Canis lupus familiaris: one gene and its partner. Each later gene encodes a partner of the first gene's protein in a complex. Links are inferred from orthologs where the notes say so. Each region holds a gene or a part of one and is shown on either strand. Other genes may lie near its edges.

Region 1 (3,523 bases):
AAATAAAATGACTTTTTACCAGTTCCTGCCTCTAATGAGAGCCTTTGGGAATCAACTCAGGGCCTAATTGCTTGTACTTTTTACAGCATCACAAGGCCAGATCATGTCTGCCTTATTTACTTCTATATTTTCTGTGCATAGAACACAGCAGATATTTAATACACACTTGCTGAATGAGACAATGGGAAATCTCTAGTTCCTTAGGGAAGTGATAACAATGCTTGATTATAGTATAATTGCCTTAAATCCTTATAGATCATCAGCACAAGATCCATCAATCACACACCATGATCTAAAAGAGAGTGAAGTAGCTTAGAAACTTGTTCTTATAAGCATATTCTTACCAAGCAGAGAATCAATCTGTCCAATGTAACAATGTTATACTTCCATACCATGTCATTAAGAATTTCAATGCATTTGTTGAGTTGCTGACCTCCAGCTGATGTAGAGAACTCATATACTAAGAAATCTGCAAATGTTCTCACATGGGCTACCAAGGCCCTGGCTCCAATTCTTTCTAATACTCTGGAAAGCAGAGAGTAAAAACCAAGTTATATTGCTATGTGGTATAACAGCTTGTTAAATAGAATGCAGATCTAGGTTTCTGGCTTACCTATAGCCAATCTGATTAATATGATCTGTTTCCAAGAGCATTTTCCAGAGAAGACAAAGGAAGAGCGGAGGAGAGCCTTGCATAGAGAAGTGGGTAATGATGTCATTTTCATTGGTCATTGACTTCCACTTCCTATATTCCTCCTCCACATTTTTTTTCAGATTAAAACGGCTTTCCTGAGGTACATTATTCTGCTTGAAGAATGCCTAAAAAAAAAAGATCAAAAGTTTACTTTTATACTAAAATGAAGAGCAATGGCCAGAGTCAAGAAATCAGTTCTGGACTTGATTCTGACACTAATAAACTCTATGTGACCTCAGGTAATTAAGTAATCAAGGTGTGAATTTCTTTTTTTTTTTTTTTTTTTTTCAAGGTGTGAATTTCTATAATGGGAAAATATACAGGCTTGACTAGATAATCTCTAAGATTCCTTTCTTAGATTTCCTAAATAGATATTCCAAGCAAGCCTGAATTCAAAGCTTCCTCAAACATCTGTTGATATTTCTGTTTGTCTTTGGGAAAAAGAAAAAAAAAAAAAAAGAAAGAAATTATGCGCCTTTTGGTTAAAGATTTTAGTATCTCTAAAAGGAAAATCCATTATACTAAACCAATGGGTCTCAGACCTCCTGTTTTGGAAGTTCAGCAGTCTGTATCTGATCAAGCCCTCTAGATAATTCTACCAAGTTTGAGAGTTACTTGCCCTAGCCCTGTTGGAAGTTCTATAAAGCAGATATTCATTATGCTTAAACTTTTCTCTGAAAAGTAGAGGACAGCTTTGCGCAGTGGCAGTATTGCAGCCAATGAGGTCTATCCGAGGCACGATTATTGCTAATTGAAAAGTAGAGGACAGATGAGGTTTTCCTTTTTCCATAGTATAAAAGCCAAGTTTGTAGTTTTTCTCTCTGTATGATTAAAAAAAAAATTCAGTCAAGTGCAACAATGTGTATTCTATGAAGCTCTGTTAAGTTGTATCTCTCCCCATTTCAGTTCTAAAAAAGAGAAAGAATTTTTCAGGTAATGTGTTAATTCTCACAACATTCTAAAATTGTTAACTAATAACATGAAACCATAATTAAATTTTTAGGAACGTATCCAGGCCTAGAGTAAGTCAGGGAACAACTCAAGAGACTTTGGAATAGTACAGGTTTTTAAAAAAAGAAACAGAAGCTAATTTCCTTTGGATATCGCTAAAACCAGCTTTCTAGAATTAATGGGAAGAAATGAATTAATGGGAAATTAATGGGAAGAAATGAATTAATGGGAAAAAATGATTTCATATATACTAAATGGAAGAATGATTTTGTATATATTCAATATGTAATTCAAGACCAAATTACCTGTAGTGGGCCTGGAAAACAGCTAAGAGTGTGTGATGCCCAATTATGAGGAGTAAAACTCATGATGGTCTGAAGTATGTCTTTACACCAAGTTCCCTGAATTGAATCAGAGCCTGTAAAAAAATCTAAACATAAACAAACAGAGGTAATCCAGATATAAATGATCATACCCATAATTCATAAATGGTATCATAGAAAAAGTTATGTACACGCATTGAATTCCATGGCAATACACTCACTGCTTAACTAGTTATATTCAGTTTAGACCTAAATTTTCTTAGTTTATGAATGATTTGAATGATTACATTAGTAAACATGAACACAATTAGTGAAAAGAAGACATTTCAATCTATTTTTTTTTTTTAAGTAGGCTCCATGCTCAGCATGCCTCGGGCCTTGAACTCATGATCCTAAGATCAAGACCTGAGCTGAGATCAAGAGTTGGACATTTAACAGACTCTCAGGAGCCTCTGTAATCTTTTTTTTTTTTTTTTTAAGGTTACAGAGCACCAATGATCTAATAGTGACATAGGCCCACCATGATCGCTCATGTAGTTCAGTCTGACAATGAGGTATCAACACTTTATTGAGCCAAGGAAACAGAATTGAGAAAATATATCTTTTCCAGTGGTTGAAATAGCTATAGACTATAACTCTCTAAATCAAGAAGGTTAATTTATTGGGACACCTGGGTTGCTCAGCGGTTGAGTGTCTGCCTTTGGCTTGGGTCGTGATCCCGGGGTCCTGGGATAGAGTCCTGCATCGGGTTCCCTGCAAAGGAGCCTGCTTCTCCCTCTGCTTGTGTCTGCTTCTCTTTGTGTCTCTCATGAATAAATAAATACATAAATAAATCTTAAAAAAAGGGTTAATTTATGTAAAATAAGACAGTTTACACAGATGTATCTGAGGTTGCAAATTCAGTAACTATTTCTTTAAAACAGCAGTTCTCAAAGTGTGGTCTGTGGACTCTGTGGGTCCCCAATATCCTTCCAAGGATTTGATGAGGTCAAAACTATTAAAATAGTAATACTAAGATAGTACTAAACTTTTTACTGTGTTCATATGTGTACCAATGGGGCAAAGGTAATGGTAGGGAAAACTGCTGGCCCTCAGAACAAGTCAAACAGTGGCACCAGACTATACTAATAGCCACTGTAATCTTCACTATACTCTCACTAGGCAGCAGGGCGGGGTGGGAGGGGGCCCAGGTTGGGAGAAAATGCAGGTTTTACTCTAGAATATCCCTGAAGTAGTGAAAAGGACTGTATCTTAGCCCTTAAATACATCTAATTTTGTTGTGATAAAAATGGAAGTATGCAGTGTCCTAGCTACACACTGAAGTATGATGGGCATCTAAAGGAAAAGTACTTGTGCAATTGTCTGAATATCGAATTAAATTAGCTCTTTTTTTTAAATGGAATTCCATTTTTACTTGAAAGAACATCTGACAGAAAAACTACAGTTATTCAGACTTGGGCAATAAGCAGCATTTTCTTGAACAAAGGGAACCTATTACTTCAAGGAAAACAAATGACCACATCTTTTGCCAATGATAAAATTTGACTTTTCAAAT
Region 2 (3,523 bases), on another chromosome or scaffold:
GCTCTGTGCCTCAGTTTCCTGCCCCACTGCTGCTTCTTTCCAGCCTGAAGAACTAAAGATGCACTGGTCTCAGGGAGAAAGACAGGGGCTATGCTGCCACCTAGTGGTGGGTGTGGGTGTGGCACTGAAGGATTCCGGAGTAACCAAAGGGGGCGTCTATGGGCCCAGGGGCACCTTCATTCTGCACCCAGCAGAACTAAGTAGCTTGCGGGGTGGGGAGGGGCGGCCAAGTTACTGGTCATTTCCTTCCCCCTCTCCCTGCCCACTTGGTGCCCCTAATCTTGACTGCTCTCCTCTCACTCACCTCTGAACCATAGGTCTGGGCCACGTGGCACAACATGAGGAAGGAGATGTCGAAGAGCAAGGCTCGAACTGAGGCTGCTTTGGCTACGGGGAACAAAAAGCCTGACTCCACAGCCTTGAGCAGGGCCCAGAACCCTCGTCTGGATCGGAAGGGGGGGGTCAGGATTTGCCTCAAGGAAGGTCAGTGATCAAGTGGCTCCTTCAAAGCTCTGAGGCTCAGAATCCTTTTCTTGAGTCTCAATTGGAACATCATCCCTTCCTTGGAATCCAAGACTCCTGATACCCTCCTCCTTCCCAGCACCCAACCAAATCATAAAGAGGGAGGGCAATAGACAGAGGTGGTTTTGGAAGAATTCTTTGCCCAGCATTCCCCTTTCAAGGCTCCCCAAAAGCTTCAGTCAGTCATTGCTCAGGGGAGAAAAGAGCCTCCCCAGGAGGAGCAACGGGCCCTCTGTCCTCCCCTGTTCTCTCCCCCGACCCTTCCACAGTGCTGGGTCCGGGGGGCACAGAGCTGACTTACCGAGTTCTTCATTGCCATGTGTCGTGAATTCATTCAAACTGGGGGAGGAACAGAGATAGGTCACAGCAAGCAGGGCAAGGGTTCAGGGGGCTACGCCTGTCCAGAAAGGCAGTCACTAAAGTCTGAATTAAGGGTGAAACTTAAAATGAACACTACCACTACAAAAAGAACTCTTTGTTTTTAAAAGATTTCCAAGGCAGCATGCCTGGCTGGATTGATCATTAGAGCATGTAACTCTTGATCTCAGGGCTTTGAGTTTGAGTTCCAAAACAGATGTAGAGATCATTTAAAAATAAAAATCTTGGGATCCCTGGGTGGCGCAGCGGTTTGGCGCCTGCCTTTGGCCCAGGGCGCGATCCTGGAGATCCAGGATCGAATCCCACGTCAGGCTCCCGGTGCATGGAGCCTGCTTCTCCCTCTGCCTGTGTCTCTGCCTCTCTCTCTCTCACTGTGTGCCTATCATGAATAAATAAAAATTAAAAAAAAATAAAAAAATAAAAAAAATAAAAATCTTGGGCAGCCCGGTGGCTCAGCGGTTTAGCGCCGTCTTCAGCTCAGGGCGTGATCCTGGAGACCCAGGATCGAGTCCCATGTTGGGGTCCCTGCATGGAGCCTGCTTCTCCCTCTGCCTATGTCTCTGCCTCTCTCTCTGTGTGTGTTTCTCATGAATAAATAAATCTTTAAAAATAAAAAAAATAATAAAAATAAATAAAAATCTTGGGGCACCTGGGTGGTTCAATGGTTGAGCATCTGCCTTGAGCGCAGGTCATGATCCCATGGTCCCAGGATCGAGCCCCGCATTGGGCTACCCCCTCAACAGGAAGCCTGCTTCTCCCTCTACCTGCTTATGCAGGTGCACGCATGCTCTGTGTCAAACAAAATCTTTAAAAATAAAAATCTTAAGAAAAAAAAAATCCAAGGCCCAGAGAACAGCTCACCGGATGGAACAAAGTTCTATGTATCAAATTCCATGTCAACCAAAGAGTCAACAGTGTTTGAGAGCCCCTTAGTAACAACTGGGCGCACCCGAATCCCTTCACTCCACCATTTAGTGCCTCTCATCTCATCAAACACCTCTACTTCATGCTCAGCAGCAGAGAAAAGAGCACTTGACATCCAGAGACCTGGCCCTTCGCTCAGTGTCTTCAACTGGGATGCTCTGGCTTGCCCTAGGCATCTCCAGGGAGACCTAGACCCTGGGGTCTTGCCCCTACTCTGCTACCTCTTCCTTTGGACACGCCTTCCCAACTCGGTTAGGGGCTCACCATTCCTTACTTGATGAATTTCCGGGCAAAGGATTTAAGCTTCCCAGTGGCAGCAGCGGCGGCCAGCAGAAGATCCAGACTCTTCCCAGAGAGCATGTGGCCCAGGACTCCTAGCAGCCCCTCTGGGGACTTGGAGTGGTCTGCATCCATCGTCTAGGGACACAACAGGAAATCAAGTCCTGAAGAAAACCCAAAGACCTCCCACGACCACCAGATACAGCCTAATCAACCAGAGCTTCCTGCTCTGCACGTCTCCATCAAGTGGCATACCACAGCCTGAAATCCAACCTATATCTTTCTGACTCCAATCTGGAAAATCACTCCCCAAATCCATCTGCTCTCTGATCCATTCCTCTCAACTAAACTGGGATCATGGCGGTAGGGGTGTGGGTGTGTGTGTGTGTGAGAGTCCCCACTGCTTCTGCAGGAGCAGGTGGAAGCATCTACCACAGTGCCTATCTTCCAAGCAGTGCCCAACAAATGCTAGTTTTCATTGGCAGCTTCCCTGCCTTGCCTGCTTCTCTACTTCCAAAGTAACTACATATAAAAGCCAGAAGACAAAGAGGTCTACAGCCTCAATTTCCTTTATCTGGAAGCAGAGGCAAAAGTGGAAAACAGGAAGAGATGACCCTGGAGACAAGGGAAGGGCATACTCACCTTGAGGATATTTGTGACAGTGGGTTCTGCCCGGAGGATCAGCCCAGGATTGGGCTGGATGTTGGCATTTTCTCCTGATTTCAGCTGGGGTGCATGTTCCCGGTCTGCTGCGCTGTGGCCATAAGCCATTGGCCAAGAGAAGGGAAAAGAAAGAAGTTCCTGATGTGCTCCCTGGTCCAGCGCCAGAAGCAGAGGCCCAGAGAAGGTGGGGAGCATAGAAAAACCTCTGCGGTTGGGGTGATGTTCATGCATGCATGTCCACTGGTGTGACTGCTTCAGTTTGTCACTGATCATTACCTCAACTCTGAAAGTTCACTTGAGATTAAAGGAAGATTTAGGATTTTTATTGTGTTCACAGAGGGTGAGAATTCAAGTGCAGCACCCAAGGGTGCAGAAGCCTAGTGCACAGAAACCCGTGTCTGCCACTCCTGGTAAGCCTAGGCATGGCCCCAGGCACCTGCACGGGAAGGGGAGAGGCACCCAGCAGTCCAGCCTGGACAGGAGGAAAGGGGGGCAAGTGGCACGTCAGCCAGGCCGGGGGGAACTCATGCTTACCGCTTGGCCAGAAGGTTGGTCACACTGGCTTCGGACAGAAGCCCCTGCTTGCTACATTCTTGGAGGAGGAATTTTGTACAGTCACAGCTGTGAGGGAAAAAGATCATGAGGGGCCTGGGCACACAGCAGGGATGACTGAGGGATGGGGACAGTAGGCCTCTGCCTCGTTTCCTCCCTCCTTCAGGATGGCAGATGGGCTCTGGCACCCAGCAACTACGGGGCT

Evidence for each region.
Region 2: the proteins of MED23 (region 1) and MED24 are in contact, whole or in part, in a cryo-EM structure (PDB 7EMF), measured with the Homo sapiens proteins. The link is inferred for Canis lupus familiaris from reciprocal best matches to the Homo sapiens genes MED23 and MED24. Residues at the interface, in NP_004821.2 of Homo sapiens: Asn150, Thr151, Val152, Ser153, Ser154, Glu193, Gly194, Leu196, Pro197, Trp199, Leu201, Gly202, Asn203, Ser206, Asp207, Asp210, Arg213, Tyr258, Asp259, Lys260, Phe263, Ser1133, Arg1139, Ser1176, Glu1180, Glu1182, Trp1183, Val1184, Tyr1186, Arg1189; in NP_055630.2 of Homo sapiens: Lys238, Thr239, Leu280, Leu283, Lys287, Val291, Glu295, Cys336, Glu339, Phe340, Lys343, Leu344, Thr345, Pro346, Leu347, Asp349, Lys350, Gln353, Lys384, Glu720, Lys721, Trp723, Thr756, Arg757, Lys758, Glu759, His760, Met802, Asp803, Pro804.

Annotation. Positions count from the first base shown.
Region 1 is NC_049233.1:365,056-368,578, reverse strand, and holds part of MED23 (mediator of RNA polymerase II transcription subunit 23), read right to left. Parts: intron 2,076-3,523; coding exon 1,951-2,075; intron 1,532-1,950; exon of another isoform or gene 1,385-1,531; intron 820-1,384; coding exon 614-819; intron 526-613; coding exon 345-525; intron 1-344. UniProt on the Homo sapiens protein: Required for transcriptional activation subsequent to the assembly of the pre-initiation complex. Component of the Mediator complex, a coactivator involved in the regulated transcription of nearly all RNA polymerase II-dependent genes.
Region 2 is NC_049230.1:22,467,671-22,471,193, reverse strand, and holds part of MED24 (mediator of RNA polymerase II transcription subunit 24), read right to left. Parts: intron 3,388-3,523; coding exon 3,301-3,387; intron 2,858-3,300; coding exon 2,746-2,857; intron 2,242-2,745; coding exon 2,099-2,241; intron 862-2,098; coding exon 824-861; intron 573-823; exon of another isoform or gene 469-572; intron 388-468; coding exon 305-387; intron 1-304. UniProt on the Homo sapiens protein: Component of the Mediator complex, a coactivator involved in the regulated transcription of nearly all RNA polymerase II-dependent genes.